4 linked regions of the Saccharomyces cerevisiae S288C genome follow. Changing the gene in region 3 together with the main gene of any one other region gives a genetic interaction. Each region holds a gene or a part of one and is shown on either strand. Other genes may lie near its edges.

What was found.
Region 1: mutations in CCH1 (region 3) and UME6 together harm fitness more than expected from each alone (negative genetic interaction), as found in Saccharomyces cerevisiae (3 studies listed by BioGRID, with this or other methods).
Region 2: mutations in CCH1 (region 3) and ILM1 together harm fitness more than expected from each alone (negative genetic interaction), as found in Saccharomyces cerevisiae (3 studies listed by BioGRID).
Region 4: mutations in CCH1 (region 3) and FKS1 together harm fitness more than expected from each alone (negative genetic interaction), as found in Saccharomyces cerevisiae (5 studies listed by BioGRID, with this or other methods).

What each region holds. Positions count from the first base shown.
Region 1 is NC_001136.10:864,478-869,380, forward strand, and holds UME6 (DNA-binding transcriptional regulator UME6), read right to left. Parts: upstream 3,046-4,903; coding exon 535-3,045; downstream 1-534. Other genes in the region: EBS1 (Ebs1p), read left to right, coding at 1-231; MSS4 (1-phosphatidylinositol-4-phosphate 5-kinase), read left to right, coding at 3,747-4,903. UniProt on the Saccharomyces cerevisiae protein: Component of the RPD3C(L) histone deacetylase complex (HDAC) responsible for the deacetylation of lysine residues on the N-terminal part of the core histones (H2A, H2B, H3 and H4).
Region 2 is NC_001142.9:642,990-645,649, forward strand, and holds ILM1 (Ilm1p), read right to left. Parts: upstream 1,113-2,660; coding exon 501-1,112; downstream 1-500. Other genes in the region: STE24 (zinc metalloprotease), read left to right, coding at 1-379; JHD2 (histone demethylase), read right to left, coding at 1,315-2,660.
Region 3 is NC_001139.9:923,033-930,718, forward strand, and holds the start of CCH1 (calcium channel protein CCH1), read left to right. Parts: upstream 1-1,663; coding exon 1,664-7,686. Other genes in the region: GPI1 (phosphatidylinositol N-acetylglucosaminyltransferase), read right to left, coding at 1-1,430. UniProt on the Saccharomyces cerevisiae protein: Voltage-gated, high-affinity calcium channel that functions together with MID1 to mediate calcium entry into cells. Required during conditions of environmental stress.
Region 4 is NC_001144.5:808,082-816,039, forward strand, and holds FKS1 (1,3-beta-D-glucan synthase), read left to right. Parts: upstream 1-1,915; coding exon 1,916-7,546; downstream 7,547-7,958. Other genes in the region: SPO77 (Spo77p), read left to right, coding at 1-737; YLR342W-A (uncharacterized protein), read left to right, coding at 7,729-7,902. UniProt on the Saccharomyces cerevisiae protein: Alternate catalytic subunit of the 1,3-beta-glucan synthase (GS) complex. Synthesizes 1,3-beta-glucan, a major structural component of the yeast cell wall. Involved in cell wall synthesis, maintenance and remodeling.

The sequences.
Region 1 (4,903 bases), on a different chromosome or scaffold from region 3:
TTACAATGGCAGAGCGAAGCTTACTCATTAAAGTCAATGAATTTTGCAAATCCAACGTGGCTAGGTGACCAGTACCAGACATCTGCGCCGTCGTCAGCATATGCGCAAGCGCAACGGCAAATGTTTCAACAACCTATGCAGCAAGATGTGGGGAAGTACATGCAATTTCCTTTTGACGCCCAAAGCAACACGGACAGCATGAGGGGAAACAGTCGGAATAATATGTTTTAATATTGTTCGTTTTTTATCATAGTTTTTCAAATCTTCATATGAATACTAGGTAGAAATTTGGCTTATCAGTACGAATGAATTACAGTTTGACTGATTTGTACACGAGAATTGACGTATAACTTCTTTTGAAAGTCTTTGAAATTACATGGTAGTACATACATATATATATATATATATATATGTTATATTATTGTTAATTAAATATTATTATGCGTATTTTCCTTTTCTTTATTAGTATAGTATTAATGACAGTAATAATAATAATAATAGTAACAATATCTCTTTTTTTTTTTCAGTGAGCTTTTATTTTTTTTTCATTGCTCTTCTTTTGGCCTCTTTTGTTTTTTTCTTGATTTCCTCCAGTTTCATCTGTTTTTTCTTTGGATCAGATACAAAATCTGGTTTGAACGCGTCATAGTGACAGTCCAATTTCAACCTTTCACAGTTGAAACAGTGCGGTCTTTCCTCGGTACACTTCTTTTTCCTTAATCTACAAATCCAGCAACCAGTACGGGACCTTGTACCTTGAGACGTTGAGGAAGTAGCATTATTCGATTCTTGAGAATTGTTTGCTTTTGATTTCGAAGTAGTATTATTTGGTCTTTTCTTTGATGACTGTTTCGCCTTTGATTTTGCCTTAGGCTTGACATTTTTTCCTTTAGATTTAGCGAAATCCGGCGAAGTAGCGTTAGGATAATCAGCGGTATATGCCAAGCCAGAAGAAGCCTTCAAAGATGGAGACGATGGAGCTGACGAAGTTGAGGATTCGCCAAGAGAATTATAATCGCTATTGGTTTGGCTTGCTACTCTTGCGTTTCCAACTGACCTTCTCGATTTTTTCAATGGTGGAACTTCCAGTTGCTGTTGTTGTTCTGGAGCAGAAAGGCGTCTGTCTATTCGCTTACCATTCTTATTCCAAGTAACTTGCCTTGTCCTTGACTCAAAAGTGGGATCTAAAACCTTTTTAGAGTTTAGATTTAAATGGTAAGGAGACAAGTCTTGATTTTGGTCCTGGTCTTCATCAAAAACAGCTGTAGAATTGTTGCTTTCGAAAATGGGTTGTTGTTCGGAATTATGGATACGTAACAGAATTGGTCTTAAGACACCCTTTGATGGAAAAGATGACGAATGAGGCCTACTAGCCGGCACACCGAGCGCATTTGTGTTATTCATGTCATTGACATTGGAAATGGGTTTATCATGAGTTCTATATGGGGATGATCTCATGTTTGATAGCACTGCTGCTGCTGTACCCAAGTCGTCGTCTAGTTTGGTAGATGAAGATGCAGAATTCGGACCGAGCAATAATCTTGATCTCAATCCATCCAATTTAGAATTGATGTATTTCGGTGGAGGTGGTGGGATGTATTGTTCATTTGTATGGAAGGGACTATTTCTATTGTTACGATTCGGCAAATCGCCGTAAAAAAACCCAGTAGAAGGTCTTGACGAAGTGGCAAACGGGTCTTCACCGCGATTGATATTGTTCCGTTGAGGGTTGTTGTTGTTTGTGCTTGTAAACGAAGATGCGGAAGTTGGAGGTTGAGAAGGTATTTGGTTGAACCTAAAATGCTGGAAATTGTTTCTGCTGGTAATGGAAGAGCTGGTGTTCGCATGTCGAGAGTTTGTAGGCGTATCCGTGTTTGAACTAGCATTGTTGGAGGATGATTCATTCAAAGAATAAGCCTCATCTCTGTATTTCGAATTTAGCCAGAACGATATGTTGATTTTTGATTCGTTCTCGTCCAGTTTTACATTTGGGTCTGTTATCTCTCTATCCTTGTTGAAATAGAAGTTCCTGGGCGCCACGCCCACGGCACATTGGTCATCATGCACATTATGCTGGACCTGAGAGTCGTTAGATGGACTGCCGCCGCGCTTAGTTCCGCCGCGCAAATACCCGCCAATCTCATTGTTATTAGAGGATTCTCTCGAATCTGAGCTTTGTATCGAATTATTGTCGTTGTTGTTGGTACTGTTGTTTCTGCTCAGTATCGACATAGGCGAATTGGTAGTCTTACCGTTGTTCTTGTTGGCGCTGGTAATGATGAGCGGCAAATCCGATCCTGTGCGGGAACGGATGCCCGAGCCCGTGCCCGCGCCCGAGCCTGCTGCGGTGGTACCGGGGGAAGAAACCGCTGGAGCTTGTGGTGGCGGCAAATGTATTTTTTTTTTGGCGCCGGCGACGATAGTAGTAGTGGCAGTGTTACTATTAGTGGAGGTGGAGGAGTAAGGGAAAACATCCTCGTTGGTTGCAGTATACTGCGGCTGAATAGCACCGGAAATTTGTGGGTCTGTAGCCTGTGCGACATGGCCATTGCACAATGACTTAGGATCCGAAGGTGTATTGGAAGGCGCGAGTGGGCTGGCGGCAGCATGCACAGCGTTATCGCTGTCACGGCGATCTTGAAGTGTAGTATTGGTCGTAGTAGTAGTATCGTTTTCCTTAGGATCGTCTTTGATATCTCCGCCACTTTGGACTTTCAAACTCGGCGAACCAGACGGAGTATGCACGGGAGTGTTGTTGGGCGCACATGTCGATTTCATAATAGAAAGCAAAGGGTTTTCATCGTAGGTTGTCTTGAGAGATTCGATGCTAGCACTGGAAATTGTAGGATGGCGGGAGTTAGCTCCATCACTAACTTCATCTTCTGCATGTTTTTTGCCGTCTTGGCTGCTATTCATCAGCGTGGCACGAGATGTTTTATTGTGCAAATAGTGATGATTGTTGGCGGTTGTTTCCATCGAAAGCAGAGAGGCAGCCGCATTAGATTCGTCCATGTGTTTGCTTTGAGAGCGCGCCTTGTCTAGCATCGTGAGTTAAGGTCCATGCAAATGGTTTGAGTGCGGTAGTGTCCTAGTTCCTGTGCGCTGTGCGAAGGTGGGCGCTTCTTACGATCACTGGTCTCTTGTCCTTGTCCTCTATGTTCTTTTCATTTTTCTTTTTGACGGCGGCAGTTTCCGCCTGGCATTGGTGAAAAGGCGCCTTGAAGCACGGCGGACGTGTCACCCGGACCGAAACAGAAGAGAAGTAGCGCAGTCTTGGCAATTATAGGATGCCCGAAATCCAACGTGCATTCTATTCTCGTGATTATTCTCGTGATTTCGTGTGCAACCAATGGACTTTAAAAACTGCGCTCTACTACTTGTAGCAATGCATGTTTTGGGCAAGTGGGGTTGAGTGGAGTGTCACCTCAGACGACGTGTCGCTTTTGTATATCCGTTTTTACGGACATAAGAACGTGCCGCCCATTCTGGGAAAACAAAACACAGGTTAAAAAAAAAAAGAAAGGAATGGATGGGGAATGGGACAGAGAGGAAAGATAGAGGTGGAAATAACAAAAGCGTGACAACAAAGAAGCAAATACGGAGGGACAAGCAAAGAAAAAACAAGGACAGAAACAAAAAATAGGAACAAGAAGTAGCACATTCATAAGCAAGAGAGTACGAAACCTGTTTACACCCCCCGAGACAGTTGCCCTATATCGCTTTTCCCTATCAATAGTTTCTAACTCATGTCAGTCTTGCGATCACAACCTCCTTCAGTTGTACCGCTACATCTGACAACATCCACCAGTCGCAAAACAGAACAGGAACCATCGCTATTGCACTCTGCAATAATTGAGCGACATCAAGACCGTTCGGTGCCGAATTCGAATTCGAATCCGGATTCGAACCATCGAATAAAAAAGGATCGCAATAATCACACTAGCTACCATTCTTCATCGAATTCGGAGTCAAACATGGAAAGTCCTCGCTTGTCAGATGGTGAGTCTTCCACTCCGACCTCTATTGAAGAGTTAAACCCAACAATAAATAATTCGAGGCTGGTGAAGAGAAACTACTCAATATCAATTGATCCTTTGCATGACAACAGCAATAATAATACGGATGATGATCATCCAAACACCATAACTTCTCCCCGACCAAATAGCACTAGTAACAAGGAAATGCAGAAATATAGTTTTCCCGAAGGTAAGGAGTCGAAGAAAATAACAACACCCTCGTTAAACTCGAATAATTGTTTGGATTTGGACAATTCCAGTCTTGTTCACACAGATTCGTATATACAAGACTTAAATGACGATCATATTTTACTAAACAAGCGCGTTTCGAGGCGATCTTCCAGAATATCGGCAGTAACAGCAACTTCCACGACAATTAAGCAAAGAAGAAATACTCAGGATTCAAACCTGCCCAATATTCCCTTTCACGCTTCCAAGCATTCTCAAATTCTACCTATGGATGATTCAGATGTAATAAAATTGGCCAATGGAGATACCAGCATGAAACCAAATTCTGCTACTAAAATTAGTCACTCAATGACTTCTTTGCCTCTTCACCCACTTCCACAACCTTCTCAAAAGTCAAAGCAATATCATATGATATCCAAATCAACCACTTCTTTGCCGCCAGAGAATGACCACTACTATCAACACAGTCGTGGCACCAACCATAATCACGCTGCTAATGCTGCTGCTGTTAATAATAATACTACTACTACTACCGCTGCTACGGGTCTGAAAAGATCAGAGTCTGCAACGGCAGAAATTAAGAAGATGAGACAATCTTTGCTGCATAAAAGAGAAATGAAAAGGAAAAGAAAAACATTTTTGGTGGATGACGATCGTGTTTTGATCGGTAATAAAGTCAGTGAAGGCCATGTCAACTT
Region 2 (2,660 bases), on a different chromosome or scaffold from region 3:
CTACAGAAATACATCATTTTACAACACCTTCGGCTTTTTCTTAGAGAAGTCCACTGGCAGTTTTGTTGATCCCGTTATCACTAAGGAATTCCCCATTATCATTGGATTTATGTTATTTAACGACTTATTAACTCCACTCGAATGTGCCATGCAATTCGTGATGAGTTTAATTTCCAGAACTCATGAATATCAAGCTGATGCTTATGCTAAAAAATTGGGCTACAAGCAAAATCTATGTAGGGCTCTAATTGATCTACAAATCAAAAACCTTTCCACCATGAATGTAGATCCTCTGTATTCTAGCTATCATTATTCCCATCCAACTCTAGCTGAAAGATTGACCGCTCTAGACTATGTTAGTGAAAAGAAGAAAAACTAATCTATAGAGTACACATATTAGCATGTACCGTTAAATTCAGCTTCGTTATGTCTATATCTACATACATACACAGGTATCTACTATAAGAATAAAGGAAAGAAAAAATAAACGATTAAACATTTTATTTTTTTGCATCGCTATCATCATTACCTTTCTCATTGTTATCATCATTATCTTTCCCATCTTCATCGTCATTTTCTTCATCATTGATTATTTCAATGATTTCTGTGGTTTCAGTCTTCACGGTAAATGGTTGGGGTTCTTCAATATCCTCATCATTAACCATGAATTGGTTCAATCTTTTGAACTCTTCATTTTTCTCCTCCCTAATGGCATTATACAAAAGAAAATTTATCCAAACTTCTGCAAAACAGTAAATAAAAACAGAGTTATTGTGAACGTAAAAGTTTGACTCCCAAAGGTACGAGATACTTGTCAAAATAAAAAAAATTAGTAATCTAACTGGCACAACAGATTGGAAGTATTTAACATTGTTTTCTAACAGGGGAATTAGATCATGAACACCGTTAAGAGTAAACAGAAGAGCGAAAAGACCCAATTGACCACTATAACGTGACAGTGTTAACTGCGGTAAATTCATCGCTTGCGTTAAGACTATGAAATATGTATTTTGCAAAATAGAATTAACGTTCTTTAAACAAAAGAAGGCGATCGTGAATAAAAATGCTACTCTGAAAAAAGCAATATTGGTGGAGTTCAAGGCTTGAGCCATTTTCTTAGAATTTATTCTTTACTTTTGCTGAATGCGATACTCTATTATGTTGTAAATTGTTACACTACCATTCAATTGTCTCTCTTTAAAGATTGATCGACATTATTTTCTTTACTTTTTTGGTGTTTTCGCGCTAAAAGTGGCGTGCTAAATGCCAAGTATTATTCTAAAAAATCATTACGCCATACACAAATATTGAAGACTATCTATCTAACTTAACACCAACTTGCTTTATTAAAGAGTCAATATCCTTCAAAGACTTAGTGAAATACAATTCATCGTCAATATAAGGTTCTTCACCGTCGCTATTGTTCAAGTTTTGTATTGATTTTAAGTAATCCTGCGTACACAGGATACTCACTTTACTGTCCGTCGTGGATAGTTCATTCCACTGCCTAATACTTAAATGGTTTTTCTTGTGTCTTTTATACGTTCTAATTGAATCATAGTTATTCTTTCGCAATACAAAGGCTATTGAACATATAGTCTTACATTGGGAACAAAATATATCGTATTCCTCATCTTCATCGTTTGGATCAGTATGCACCTCCAAAAGAGTTGTCCGTGGTACAATGGCCTGAATTTTCCGTATGCGTTTTAATTCAGTATTATAAAAGACGATCAATGAAGAGTAACATTGCCTAACAAAAGCATCATTGAACAATAGAGTATCTTTATTGTACTTGTCCAAAACATTGATCATTAAATCAAACATATCAAAAACACATGCTTTCTGAGTTAATTTATAATCCGTAATCGCACCAAATCCATATGGTAGCCAGAAATCTATAGTAAAATTGACAGCTTCATTAAAATTATAACCTGTATTAAAACCAGCATGGTAACATTTAGGAAACGTGATAATATATTCGTTGGGCTTTTGCACAGCTTTGTACACAGGAATACCTGATTTCTTGAAATTTGGATCGTACGGAGATATTAAAGTCACTAGCTGATGCAGTAGGTCTGGTTGTTTGATAAATAAGTCTGGTGACATATCATTTAATAGATCGTTGAATTTCGTACATCCCGATTCGGGAATGCTGTACCAGACCTTAGGGTCACCTTCATGTTGATAGTTAGCACTTAGGGTATACTGATCTTCCATATGCCAACAAAATGTGGAAAATAAGGAGCCTATGTAAATCCAAGGAATAGTCATGCCAGAAATATTTCTTTTAAATAACGGTAATAGCGAATTATGAGCCATAGGCAAGTTAGTTAAATTCATAGGATGATCGCAATATTTGAGGTAGTCTATCAATTCGTCCCCATTTATATTTTTGGGTATAAATTCTCTCGTCGGAAAGCCGGTAATTTGACCTGGCAATTCGTTATGTATGTCAGCACCGTATTTAACTGTCGTTAATGAACTGCGACGATTCTTGGTCACTAAGCTCCAAAACATCTCTTCCAACTCATCTATAGACAGTTTTCGTGCTGGTAATAACCTTGAATTTTGACGTTTACAATATTCTTGAAACTCTGGTAGAGAATAGTCATGCGTGTCCTGAGTGAATCCGTAATATCCGTTTCCGACGATACAAG
Region 3 (7,686 bases):
GTGTATGACATATAGAATGCCATCACTGTGGGAGTCAAGAACACTAGAATAATAAATAATAATGTTCCCAATAGCAATTGATCTAGTTGAAAATAGTTATGGTCAATCCTATTTCGTAAAACGTTCCTCTTTTTACCGCAGAACAGGTTAAAAAGACTAGCCATAATATTCAACTGACAATGGTACAGTTTACTGCTGATACGATAAAAAACATATATTGGAAAACTTAAAATTGCAAAAAAATCAATCGCTAGGGAAACAGCAAAAGAAAAGCCAACGAGAAACATCATATATATCGTTAACGTGAGCAAAGATGATAGGGTTTTCGGATCAATGAGTCTTTTTATGAATGTGGTATAAGAAAATTCTATCACCCAAAGAAATAATTCGCTCAAAAAGTTCGCAAGTTCTGCATTTAATTTGATGCCAAGGGGGTTATTTGCTAACGTTTCAGTTATTGTTTTTAATGAATCATATAAAAAAAACTTCAATACTCTATGGGATGCCGACACCAAGAAATCTCGATTCTCAATAAGTATGGCCCCCAATATTAAACCAAATGAAATGTCATTAATAATAAGCCAAATTGTATTATACAATAAAATATAATCGGGATAGAATTTAGAAGGCATATATGAATGTGAGAATTGACTATTAGAATTATCTTTTTCCACCATAGAGCCAACATTCTGTATGTTATCCTTCTTATTAATACGCTCATACTGTACTGGGAAATAGCAAATTTGTTGACAACGAAGATCGATTTGCTGGACAAATGCCGAGTAATTTACCAACTGAAAGTGCGAATAATTTAATAACGAGGATACGAGACTAGCAATAGAGCAGATCACAAAAGTCAAATAAAAACCAATTTTTGCGACCATTTTATAAATACAAGTAGATGAACACCAAGCTGCGACACTATTAAGCATAGTACCCCTCAAATTTTCCTGTGATGTTTGAATAAACGGGTAAAGCTCATTTAATGCTTTACAATATGCGGGGAATAGATTAATGATGTTCAAAGTTTCACTCAATTTCTTATTATCTCTCTTGTATCTTGGATGTTGCTCTAATTTAGAATAGTTCAGAGTTTCACCCACACTACTATGAAGACCAACTTCTTTTTCTGGTATGATGAGCGAGATGGGATCAGAAGAATAGAATTGCATAAATTTCAGCTTGGGTATTCTAAAATGGACATTACAGGGATCAGCAACTTTGTAGTTCCAACCCTCCGCTCCATTGTTCTTAGTAGCTACCACTGAATAAGGGGGCCGTATGCTTACTTCTTCTAAATACTGAGGTTCGCAAACACCTAAGACAACAAAATGCGTCTTCTCAAATGAAATTGCCAAAGCTACCTGAGGTCCTTGAGCTGCGGAATTCTCGAACAAGGATTCGTATGGCCAGAAAATGTAATTTGGCATGTCATTTAACTGTATAAAACCGCCCCTGAATTCGAAGGTTCCTGTTCACAGAGGAATTTTCATTCTTTTTGGTATTATGTTCTGGTAGGTTTTTTTCATATTCTACATTTCGGCATTCTCACTGAAAATAAATATAGATGAGATAGAAGATCATGAATCAATGGTTGGTGACAAGCTAACATAAGGAAAATCAAAATACACGGCATTACTAAATAGAATATATTGTTAGTACTATGCAGGGGAGAAAAAGGACGCTTACGGAACCATTTGAGCCAAATACCAATCCATTTGGGGACAATGCAGCAGTAATGACGGAAAATGTTGAGGATAACAGCGAAACAGATGGTAACCGTCTAGAATCAAAACCACAAGCTTTGGTCCCACCAGCTTTAAATATCGTGCCACCAGAGAGCAGCATCCACAGTACTGAAGAAAAAAAAGGTGACGAGTACAATGGAAATGATAAAGATAGCTCCTTAATCTCCAACATATTTCGTACTCGTGTCGGAAGGAGTAGTCATGAAAACTTGAGCAGGCCTAAACTCTCACTTAAAACAGCATCATTTGGTGCCGCTGAATCTTCCCGGCGTAATGTTTCACCCTCTACAAAATCTGCCAAGTCTAGTTCGCAGTATATTGATTTAAATGATGAAAGGCTACGCAGGCGTAGCTTCAGTAGTTATAGCCGATCATCTAGTAGGCGTGTTTCTAATTCACCAAGCTCAACGGATAGGCCTCCACGGTCGGCAAAGGTTTTATCGCTAATTGCCGCTGATGATATGGATGATTTTGAAGATTTGCAAAAGGGATTTAAAAGTGCAATAGACGAAGAGGGCCTGACATGGCTACCCCAATTAAAATCAGAAAAAAGCCGTCCTGTATCAGACGTTGGAGAAGATAGAGGAGAAGGAGAACAAGAATCTATACCTGACGTTCATACACCCAATGTAGGAGCAAGCGCTACTCCAGGATCAATTCATCTAACACCCGAACCCGCGCAGAATGGTTCGGTATCTGAGGGTCTAGAAGGCTCTATTAATAATTCAAGAAAGAAACCCAGTCCAAAGTTTTTTCATCATTTATCACCGCAAAAAGAAGATAAAGACCAAACAGAAGTTATTGAGTATGCTGAAGACATTCTAGATTTTGAAACCCTTCAAAGAAAACTGGAATCAAGGCCCTTTGTGCTTTATGGACATTCTCTTGGGGTTTTCTCGCCTACGAATCCGCTAAGAATAAAAATTGCTCGTTTTTTGTTGCATAGGCGGTATTCGTTACTTTACAACACTTTGTTAACATTTTATGCCATTCTCCTGGCGATAAGGACATATAACCCTCACAATGTGGTTTTTTTATACCGTTTCTCTAACTGGACCGACTATTTCATTTTTATTTTATCAGCTTGCTTTACAGGCAATGATATTGCTAAAATAATTGCGTTTGGATTTTGGGACGATTCTGAAATGTTTAAAGCCTATGGACGTGAGTATAAATCAATCTTACAGAGATCTGGAATTATGAAACTATACATATATCTGAGAGAAAAGTATGGTAGAAAGCTAATAGATTTCATTATTCCATTTAGGATCATATCGCCGGGAGAAGAGACAAAATATCAACGAAGTTCGTTGAGTACTTCCCTGACGAAACCTTATGGGGCAAAGGAAAATCAGAGGCCTTTTGGCACCCCAAGAGCCTTTGCGAGATCATCGTGGAATAGAATAGATCTGGTATCTTCTGTCAGTTTTTGGCTAGGTATGTTTTTATCCATAAAAAGTTATGATACAAAAACAGGCATAAGAATATTCAAGCCCCTTGCTATATTAAGGATTCTTCGACTTGTAAACGTGGATACTGGTATGCCCTCAATTCTAAGGGGATTGAAATATGGTATCCCACAGTTGGTAAATGTTAGTTCAATGCTAGTTTACTTTTGGATTTTCTTTGGGATTTTGGGAGTACAGATTTTTCAGGGCTCTTTTCGAAGACAATGTGTATGGTTTAACCCTGAAGATCCTACCGATACTTACCAGTACGATATGCAATTCTGTGGTGGTTACCTAGATCCAGTAACAAAACGAAAACAAAATTATATCTATGAAGACGGATCAGAAGGTTCTGTTTCAAAAGGCTTTCTTTGCCCACAATATTCGAAATGTGTTTCCAATGCCAACCCCTACAACGGCAGAATTAGTTTTGATAATATTGTTAATTCCATGGAGCTCGTTTTTGTCATTATGAGTGCGAATACTTTTACTGACTTAATGTACTATACGATGGATTCGGATGAAATGGCTGCCTGTTTGTTTTTTATTGTTTGCATCTTTGTTTTAACTATCTGGCTGCTAAATCTACTCATTGCAGTGTTGGTATCATCTTTTGAAATAGCCAATGAGGAGTACAAAAAGAAAAAGTTCATATATGGTTCTAGAAAGACAGGTTATGTTGCTCGCATAGTAACAGGCTACTGGAAATATTTTAAGCTTAAGGCGAATCAGACAAAATTCCCAAATTGGTCCCAAAAAGGACTAGCTATTTATTCCCACGTTGAGTTTATCTTTGTCATACTTATTATTTGCGATATAGGTATGCGCGCCTCTGTTAAAGTATCGACTTCGGCAAACTGTAACAATATCCTTCTAAAAACTGACAGGGGAATTTCGATTGTTCTCTTCATCGAATCACTGGCAAGGTTAGTATTATATCTGCCCAATATGTGGAAGTTTTTAACAAAACCTAGTTACGTTTACGATTTTATTATATCAATTATTACTCTGGTTATTAGTTGCCTGGCTGTTGAAGGGGTTCTAGGACATATGTATGCCTGGCTATCCATATTCCACATATCCAGATTTTACAGGGTGATTATTTCTTTCAATTTAACAAAAAAACTATGGAAACAAATATTGAGTAATGGTGTTATGATTTGGAACTTATCGTCTTTTTACTTTTTTTTCACCTTTTTGGTTGCTATAATCATGGCTGTGTATTTCGAAGGCGTGATTCCTCCAGAAGAAATGGCAGACCAGCCATTTGGAATGTATTCACTACCGAATTCATTTCTTTCTTTGTTTATAATAGGTTCAACTGAAAATTGGACGGATATCCTATATGCCCTCCAAAAACACTCACCAAACATCTCCTCAACTTTTTTTTGCTCAGTATTTTTTATTATATGGTTTCTACTATCCAACTCAGTGATCTTGAACATTTTCATTGCCCTAATATCAGAAAGCATGGAAGTGAAAGAAGAAGAAAAACGACCACAGCAAATTAAGCATTATCTTAAGTTCGTCTATCCTCAGAAAATACAAGAATATACACACGCTAGTTTGGTTGCGAGAATTCGTAAAAAATTCTTTGGAGGTCATAGGAACGAAGATACAAGAGATTTTAAGCAATTTCTTATGAGAGGAACCGCGATAATGAACATAGCGCAGAATATGGGGGAGTTGGCCGATGAATTCAAAGAGCCACCTTCAGAAAACCTATTTAAAAAGGGCTTATCAAAGCTCACAATTGGGGTTCCGTCACTAAAAAGGCTGAGAATGTTTGCTAATAATCCATTTTATAAAAATAGTGACGTTGTGTTTACAGAAACGAACGATATAAATGGGAGGACGTATATCTTGGAGTTGAATGAGTACGAGGATGAGAAGCTAGATTATTTAAAAAAGTACCCTTTATTCAATTACTCATATTATTTCTTTTCTCCTCAGCATAGATTTCGAAGGTTCTGTCAACGCTTGGTACCACCAAGCACTGGAAAAAGGACTGATGGATCACGATTTTTCGAGGATAGCACTGATCTATACAATAAAAGGAGCTATTTTCATCATATTGAAAGAGATGTATTTGTATTCATTTTCGCACTTGCCACCATTTTACTAATTGTTTGCTCATGTTATGTTACGCCTCTATATCGTATGCATCACAAGATGGGAACTTGGAATTGGTCCTCGGCGTTAGATTGCGCCTTCATTGGTGCCTTCTCAATTGAATTTATCGTGAAAACAGTAGCTGACGGATTTATATATTCTCCAAATGCTTACCTGAGGAATCCATGGAACTTTATTGATTTTTGTGTCCTAATCTCAATGTGGATTAATTTAATTGCATACCTAAAAAACAATGGAAATTTGTCTAGGATTTTCAAGGGATTGACAGCCCTGAGGGCCCTCAGATGCCTCACGATCAGTAACACAGCTCGTCAAACATTTAACCTAGTTATGTTTGATGGTTTAAATAAAATTTTTGAAGCTGGGTTGATTTCACTCAGTTTGCTATTTCCATTTACAGTTTGGGGCTTAAGCATTTTTAAAGGCCGTTTAGGTACTTGCAATGACGGAAGTTTGGGCCGTGCAGATTGTTACAATGAATATTCAAATTCCGTTTTTCAATGGGATATCATGTCTCCAAGGGTTTACCAGCAACCATATCTTCATTTGGACTCTTTCGCAAGCGCTTTTAGTTCATTATACCAAATCATTTCTTTGGAAGGATGGGTTGATTTGTTGGAAAATATGATGAATAGTTCAGGAATAGGTACACCCGCTACGGTAATGGGTTCAGCAGGGAATGCTTTATTCCTCGTTCTGTTTAATTTTTTAAGTATGGTTTTCATCCTGAACTTGTTTGTTTCATTCATTGTTAACAACCAAGCAAGGACAACAGGAAGCGCTTACTTTACCATTGAGGAAAAGGCGTGGCTGGAATCCCAGAAACTTTTATCTCAGGCCAAGCCAAAAGCTATCCCAAATTTAATTGAGTTATCAAGAGTTAGGCAATTTTTCTATCAACTTGCAGTGGAGAAAAAAAATTTCTACTACGCATCGTTTCTTCAGGTAGTACTTTATTTGCACATAATCATGCTCCTGAGTCGAAGCTACAATCCAGGAAACTTGATAGGTTATCAAGGTGTTTATTTTATGTTTTCCACTAGTGTTTTTTTAATTCAAGAGGCACTTCACATGTGCGGTGAAGGACCAAGATTATATTTTAGGCAAAAATGGAACAGCATACGACTCAGTATCATAATTATAGCCTTTATTATGAACGCTGTAGCATTCCACGTTCCAGCCTCTCACTATTGGTTCCACAATATAAAGGGGTTTTTCCTGTTAGTGATATTTTTGTTTATTATTCCTCAAAATGACACACTAACTGAACTATTAGAAACCGCAATGGCAAGCTTACCGCCTATTCTATCATTGACCTACACTTGGGGGGTTTTATTTTTAGTATATGCTATTGCTTTGAATCAAATCTTCGGCCTAACAAGGTTAGGGAGTAATACGACCGATAACATAAATTTTAGAACTGTAATCAAATCCATGATTGTTCTGTTTAGATGTAGTTTTGGTGAGGGCTGGAATTATATCATGGCCGACCTAACTGTGTCAGAACCTTATTGCTCCTCTGATGATAATTCAACCTATACGGACTGTGGATCAGAGACATATGCCTATTTGTTATTAATGTCGTGGAATATTATTTCCATGTATATTTTTGTGAATATGTTTGTTTCGTTGATTATTGGTAATTTCAGTTATGTTTACCGTAGCGGTGGATCTCGCTCTGGCATCAACAGATCGGAGATAAAAAAATACATTGAAGCTTGGTCCAAATTTGATACTGATGGAACTGGCGAGCTTGAGCTGTCCTACCTCCCAAGAATAATGCATTCATTTGACGGTCCTCTTTCATTTAAAATTTGGGAAGGTAGATTGACAATAAAAAGTCTAGTCGAGAACTACATGGAGGTTAACCCAGATGATCCATATGACGTCAAAATAGACCTGATCGGACTGAACAAAGAGCTGAATACGATTGATAAAGCAAAGATCATACAGAGGAAGTTACAGTACAGAAGATTTGTACAAAGCATTCACTATACGAATGCTTATAATGGATGTATCAGATTCTCGGATTTGTTATTACAAATACCTCTCTATACAGCTTATTCTGCAAGGGAATGTCTAGGTATTGATCAATATGTCCATCATCTATATATCCTGGGTAAAGTGGACAAGTACTTAGAAAATCAAAGAAACTTCGATGTATTGGAGATGGTGGTAACAAGATGGAAATTTCATTGCAGGATGAAACGTACCATTGAACCCGAATGGGATGTTAAAGATCCCACAGTATCGTCTCACATTTCGAATATAAACGTAAATCTGGAACCTGCTCCAGGAATTTTAGAAAGAGAACCTATTGCGACACCTAGAATGGACTACGGTGTTAACAATTTTAT
Region 4 (7,958 bases), on a different chromosome or scaffold from region 3:
CTTCTGATGAGGCTTTCGAAAAATCTACTTTCATTAACACAATTGAGTTCATTGTGCACGATATTTGGGTCGAAACGTTGATAAAGAACATAAACTTATTACAAATGTTTGATGCAGATTTGAAATGCTACAATGACAAGTACATAATTTGCAAGCTAAAGGGTCAGTATCCCTCCACAAATATAGTGGACATAATGTGCCGTTTGAAGCATTTTTCCAATTCTATTTTGGAAACTTTCAAATTCGGAATCGAGCTAAAAGAACAAGATCAATGCCACAATAGAAACACTATTATCAACTACGTTCTTTTCAGTAGAGTATTTTCAACGATTGTTTTAGAGATTCAAAAATGCTTTATCTTGATCGTTAAGTTCATGTATTCTGTCAATTTTTTAGAAAAATTTTCCGATGAAGTATTTTTGTCATTTATTGAAATTCTCATAAAAATTGTCTTTGAGCACCAGATTCCGCAGTTATTTTTGGGAATTGATGAAATTATTCAACTCTGGTTAAAGAACAATGAAGGAAAACGGCAACAACTCTTGAGCGCTTGGTGCAACGGAACTGTTCAAGATATGAAGCAAAGCCAACAAAGAGAGTCCTCAAACGCAGAATCTGAATCAATCACTTCAAGTACAGAAGAGGACGAAGAAGGCCTCCAATTCAATAAATGGGATGTGATTGAACCATTTATTGATAATATCAAGGCTTTGAATCAATCAAAATCCCATATGTGACGCAGCGATAAAACCGCGGCATGCAAACATCTACACAATTAGCAAGGGCAATCCATATTTTGTCTTTTCGCGCCCTGGAAAGGCCTAAGTAATGTCGTAAACGCATTCTATCTGTACTTCAACTCTCCTCTGTGCATTGGTTTGTGCAAATCACATTTTACGATACTGCCAGATTTATGCAAAAAGAGAAAACCAAGGGACCAGAACAAAGCAAAATTACGATAAACTTCGAATTCCTTCGTGCTTGACTAAGACAAAGGGATGGACGTAGCGATTTTTAGCGGGCCAAGAACTGGTTCCGAAAAAGCACAGGTACACCGAACCCTCAGCTAAGGAGGGACAGCACCGATGCGGAAGGACAAACTTTCTTTTTGCCTATCACAGTATCTTATCGAGCTAACTATTTTCGACACACATGAAAAAGCAGAAATATTAACGAAAAAGAAAAGAAAGACCATGTCATGTACGGGCAATCAGAATCTGTAACAAGCGCCATTTTTTTTTCTGTATCGGGCCCTCCTTACTGCTCTCCTTCCGTGTAACGCGTTATGAAACTCTAATCCTACTATCGGCGACTCTCTCGAAATTTTTCTTAACGCGTCCTTGTACTGCGTCTAACGCTTTTGCCACTTGGATTTCTATTATAGGAAATAGTCTCACTTACTGGGCGACGAATTTTCGCGTTTTGATGAAGCACAGGAAGAATTTCTTTTTTTTTTGGCTTCTTCTGGTTCCGTTTTTTACGCGCACAAATCTAAAAAAAGAAATAATTATAACCTAGTCTCGAAAATTTTCATCGATCCATTCGTTCCTTTTTTTCGATTTTTTCAGATCAAAATTCTTGTTTCTTTCTTTGTCTTAGTTTATATTAAAAGATATTTTGATTTTACTCCTGAACTATTTATTCTTTCTAAGAAGGCCAGAACACTACAGCTGTTTTAACCGACTACGAAGTTCTCCATTCTCGAACACTAGCCTTCATTTACCAAACAGGAACTAGCGTATATCATTAGTCCTTATTCGAAAAGAGATTGGTAGATATTTATTGTAGTTTGTGAGAAGGAGAAAATACTGTCATTGGACTGATAGTTAGAGGACATTAACCTCTCTTACGTTCGCTCAAAAAAATTAAAATAAGCAAGTAGCTGAAATCAAGTCTTTCATACAACGGTCAGACCATGAACACTGATCAACAACCTTATCAGGGCCAAACGGACTATACCCAGGGACCAGGTAACGGGCAAAGTCAGGAACAAGACTATGACCAATATGGCCAGCCTTTGTATCCTTCACAAGCTGATGGTTACTACGATCCAAATGTCGCTGCTGGTACTGAAGCTGATATGTATGGTCAACAACCACCAAACGAGTCTTACGACCAAGACTACACAAACGGTGAATACTATGGTCAACCGCCAAATATGGCTGCTCAAGACGGTGAAAACTTCTCGGATTTTAGCAGTTACGGCCCTCCTGGAACACCTGGATATGATAGCTATGGTGGTCAGTATACCGCTTCTCAAATGAGTTATGGAGAACCAAATTCGTCGGGTACCTCGACTCCAATTTACGGTAATTATGACCCAAATGCTATCGCTATGGCTTTGCCAAATGAACCTTATCCCGCTTGGACTGCTGACTCTCAATCTCCCGTTTCGATCGAGCAAATCGAAGATATCTTTATTGATTTGACCAACAGACTCGGGTTCCAAAGAGACTCCATGAGAAATATGTTTGATCATTTTATGGTTCTCTTGGACTCTAGGTCCTCGAGAATGTCTCCTGATCAAGCTTTACTATCTTTACATGCCGACTACATTGGTGGCGATACTGCTAACTATAAAAAATGGTATTTTGCTGCTCAGTTAGATATGGATGATGAAATTGGTTTTAGAAATATGAGTCTTGGAAAACTCTCAAGGAAGGCAAGAAAAGCTAAGAAGAAAAACAAGAAAGCAATGGAAGAGGCCAATCCCGAAGACACTGAAGAAACTTTAAACAAAATTGAAGGCGACAACTCCCTAGAGGCTGCTGATTTTAGATGGAAGGCCAAGATGAACCAGTTGTCTCCCCTGGAAAGAGTTCGTCATATCGCCTTATATCTGTTATGTTGGGGTGAAGCTAATCAAGTCAGATTCACTGCTGAATGTTTATGTTTTATCTACAAGTGTGCTCTTGACTACTTGGATTCCCCTCTTTGCCAACAACGCCAAGAACCTATGCCAGAAGGTGATTTCTTGAATAGAGTCATTACGCCAATTTATCATTTCATCAGAAATCAAGTTTATGAAATTGTTGATGGTCGTTTTGTCAAGCGTGAAAGAGATCATAACAAAATTGTCGGTTATGATGATTTAAACCAATTGTTCTGGTATCCAGAAGGTATTGCAAAGATTGTTCTTGAAGATGGAACAAAATTGATAGAACTCCCATTGGAAGAACGTTATTTAAGATTAGGCGATGTCGTCTGGGATGATGTATTCTTCAAAACATATAAAGAGACCCGTACTTGGTTACATTTGGTCACCAACTTCAACCGTATTTGGGTTATGCATATCTCCATTTTTTGGATGTACTTTGCATATAATTCACCAACATTTTACACTCATAACTATCAACAATTGGTCGACAACCAACCTTTGGCTGCTTACAAGTGGGCATCTTGCGCATTAGGTGGTACTGTCGCAAGTTTGATTCAAATTGTCGCTACTTTGTGTGAATGGTCATTCGTTCCAAGAAAATGGGCTGGTGCTCAACATCTATCTCGTAGATTCTGGTTTTTATGCATCATCTTTGGTATTAATTTGGGTCCTATTATTTTTGTTTTTGCTTACGACAAAGATACAGTCTACTCCACTGCTGCACACGTTGTTGCTGCTGTTATGTTCTTTGTTGCGGTTGCTACCATCATATTCTTCTCCATTATGCCATTGGGGGGGTTGTTTACGTCATATATGAAAAAATCTACAAGGCGTTATGTTGCATCTCAAACATTCACTGCTGCATTTGCCCCTCTACATGGGTTAGATAGATGGATGTCCTATTTAGTTTGGGTTACTGTTTTTGCTGCCAAATATTCAGAATCGTACTACTTTTTAGTTTTATCTTTGAGAGATCCAATTAGAATTTTGTCCACCACTGCAATGAGGTGTACAGGTGAATACTGGTGGGGTGCGGTACTTTGTAAAGTGCAACCCAAGATTGTCTTAGGTTTGGTTATCGCTACCGACTTCATTCTTTTCTTCTTGGATACCTACTTATGGTACATTATTGTGAATACCATTTTCTCTGTTGGGAAATCTTTCTATTTAGGTATTTCTATCTTAACACCATGGAGAAATATCTTCACAAGATTGCCAAAAAGAATATACTCCAAGATTTTGGCTACTACTGATATGGAAATTAAATACAAACCAAAGGTTTTGATTTCTCAAGTATGGAATGCCATCATTATTTCAATGTACAGAGAACATCTCTTAGCCATCGACCATGTACAAAAATTACTATATCATCAAGTTCCATCTGAAATCGAAGGTAAAAGAACTTTGAGAGCTCCTACCTTCTTTGTTTCTCAAGATGACAATAATTTTGAGACTGAATTTTTCCCTAGGGATTCAGAGGCTGAGCGTCGTATTTCTTTCTTTGCTCAATCTTTGTCTACTCCAATTCCCGAACCACTTCCAGTTGATAACATGCCAACGTTCACAGTATTGACTCCTCACTACGCGGAAAGAATTCTGCTGTCATTAAGAGAAATTATTCGTGAAGATGACCAATTTTCTAGAGTTACTCTTTTAGAATATCTAAAACAATTACATCCCGTTGAATGGGAATGTTTTGTTAAGGATACTAAGATTTTGGCTGAAGAAACCGCTGCCTATGAAGGAAATGAAAATGAAGCTGAAAAGGAAGATGCTTTGAAATCTCAAATCGATGATTTGCCATTTTATTGTATTGGTTTTAAATCTGCTGCTCCAGAATATACACTTCGTACGAGAATTTGGGCTTCTTTGAGGTCGCAGACTCTATATCGTACCATTTCAGGGTTCATGAATTATTCAAGAGCTATCAAATTACTGTATCGTGTGGAAAATCCTGAAATTGTTCAAATGTTTGGTGGTAATGCTGAAGGCTTAGAAAGAGAGCTAGAAAAGATGGCAAGAAGAAAGTTTAAATTTTTGGTCTCTATGCAGAGATTGGCTAAATTCAAACCACATGAACTGGAAAATGCTGAGTTTTTGTTGAGAGCTTACCCAGACTTACAAATTGCCTACTTGGATGAAGAGCCACCTTTGACTGAAGGTGAGGAGCCAAGAATCTATTCCGCTTTGATTGATGGACATTGTGAAATTCTAGATAATGGTCGTAGACGTCCCAAGTTTAGAGTTCAATTATCTGGTAACCCAATTCTTGGTGACGGTAAATCTGATAACCAAAACCATGCTTTGATTTTTTACAGAGGTGAATACATTCAATTAATTGATGCCAACCAAGATAACTACTTGGAAGAATGTCTGAAGATTAGATCTGTATTGGCTGAATTTGAGGAATTGAACGTTGAACAAGTTAATCCATATGCTCCCGGTTTAAGGTATGAGGAGCAAACAACTAATCATCCTGTTGCTATTGTTGGTGCCAGAGAATACATTTTCTCTGAAAACTCTGGTGTGCTGGGTGATGTGGCCGCTGGTAAAGAACAAACTTTTGGTACATTATTTGCGCGTACTTTATCTCAAATTGGTGGTAAATTGCATTATGGTCATCCGGATTTCATTAATGCTACGTTTATGACCACTAGAGGTGGTGTTTCCAAAGCACAAAAGGGTTTGCATTTAAACGAAGATATTTATGCTGGTATGAATGCTATGCTTCGTGGTGGTCGTATCAAGCATTGTGAGTATTATCAATGTGGTAAAGGTAGAGATTTGGGTTTCGGTACAATTCTAAATTTCACTACTAAGATTGGTGCTGGTATGGGTGAACAAATGTTATCTCGTGAATATTATTATCTGGGTACCCAATTACCAGTGGACCGTTTCCTAACATTCTATTATGCCCATCCTGGTTTCCATTTGAACAACTTGTTCATTCAATTATCTTTGCAAATGTTTATGTTGACTTTGGTGAATTTATCTTCCTTGGCCCATGAATCTATTATGTGTATTTACGATAGGAACAAACCAAAAACAGATGTTTTGGTTCCAATTGGGTGTTACAACTTCCAACCTGCGGTTGATTGGGTGAGACGTTATACATTGTCTATTTTCATTGTTTTCTGGATTGCCTTCGTTCCTATTGTTGTTCAAGAACTAATTGAACGTGGTCTATGGAAAGCCACCCAAAGATTTTTCTGCCACCTATTATCATTATCCCCTATGTTCGAAGTGTTTGCGGGCCAAATCTACTCTTCTGCGTTATTAAGTGATTTAGCAATTGGTGGTGCTCGTTATATATCCACCGGTCGTGGTTTTGCAACTTCTCGTATACCATTTTCAATTTTGTATTCAAGATTTGCAGGATCTGCTATCTACATGGGTGCAAGATCAATGTTAATGTTGCTGTTCGGTACTGTCGCACATTGGCAAGCTCCACTACTGTGGTTTTGGGCCTCTCTATCTTCATTAATTTTTGCGCCTTTCGTTTTCAATCCACATCAGTTTGCTTGGGAAGATTTCTTTTTGGATTACAGGGATTATATCAGATGGTTATCAAGAGGTAATAATCAATATCATAGAAACTCGTGGATTGGTTACGTGAGGATGTCTAGGGCACGTATTACTGGGTTTAAACGTAAACTGGTTGGCGATGAATCTGAGAAAGCTGCTGGTGACGCAAGCAGGGCTCATAGAACCAATTTGATCATGGCTGAAATCATACCCTGTGCAATTTATGCAGCTGGTTGTTTTATTGCCTTCACGTTTATTAATGCTCAAACCGGTGTCAAGACTACTGATGATGATAGGGTGAATTCTGTTTTACGTATCATCATTTGTACCTTGGCGCCAATCGCCGTTAACCTCGGTGTTCTATTCTTCTGTATGGGTATGTCATGCTGCTCTGGTCCCTTATTTGGTATGTGTTGTAAGAAGACAGGTTCTGTAATGGCTGGAATTGCCCACGGTGTTGCTGTTATTGTCCACATTGCCTTTTTCATTGTCATGTGGGTTTTGGAGAGCTTCAACTTTGTTAGAATGTTAATCGGAGTCGTTACTTGTATCCAATGTCAAAGACTCATTTTTCATTGCATGACAGCGTTAATGTTGACTCGTGAATTTAAAAACGATCATGCCAATACAGCCTTCTGGACTGGTAAGTGGTATGGTAAAGGTATGGGTTACATGGCTTGGACCCAGCCAAGTAGAGAATTAACCGCCAAGGTAATTGAGCTTTCAGAATTTGCAGCTGATTTTGTTCTAGGTCATGTGATTTTAATCTGTCAACTGCCACTCATTATAATCCCAAAAATAGATAAATTCCACTCGATTATGCTATTCTGGCTAAAGCCCTCTCGTCAAATTCGTCCCCCAATTTACTCTCTGAAGCAAACTCGTTTGCGTAAGCGTATGGTCAAGAAGTACTGCTCTTTGTACTTTTTAGTATTGGCTATTTTTGCAGGATGCATTATTGGTCCTGCTGTAGCCTCTGCTAAGATCCACAAACACATTGGAGATTCATTGGATGGCGTTGTTCACAATCTATTCCAACCAATAAATACAACCAATAATGACACTGGTTCCCAAATGTCAACTTATCAAAGTCACTACTATACTCATACGCCATCATTAAAGACCTGGTCAACTATAAAATAATACAATCAATACTTGCTTGAACGCTTGATTTTACTGATATTCTATCCAAAAGCAAGTAGACCAGAAACTCTCAAGATGTTGCAAATACCGTTCGATGTTTTTGGTTTAGATTGTTTTAATGTTGATGCTTTTTTACTTATTTTTGGAAGCGTCTTTTTAATTTAGTTTTATATTATAGGTATATGAATGTGTTTATGCCAATAAGGGTTTTTTTGTACAGTTATGTGATTATAAACAGTCTTTTGTCTAGTTTTTTTCACCAGTATCGGCCTCTATTTATAAAAAACGGAGCAGCTTTCGGTGTCAGTAATTCTGAAAAAATTTGTGTCACTCTGATTGTAAATGAATTAATTTAGCTAGATAGTTGCGAGCCCCAACGAGAAGATTGTCAGACAAAGACAACATTCAACAA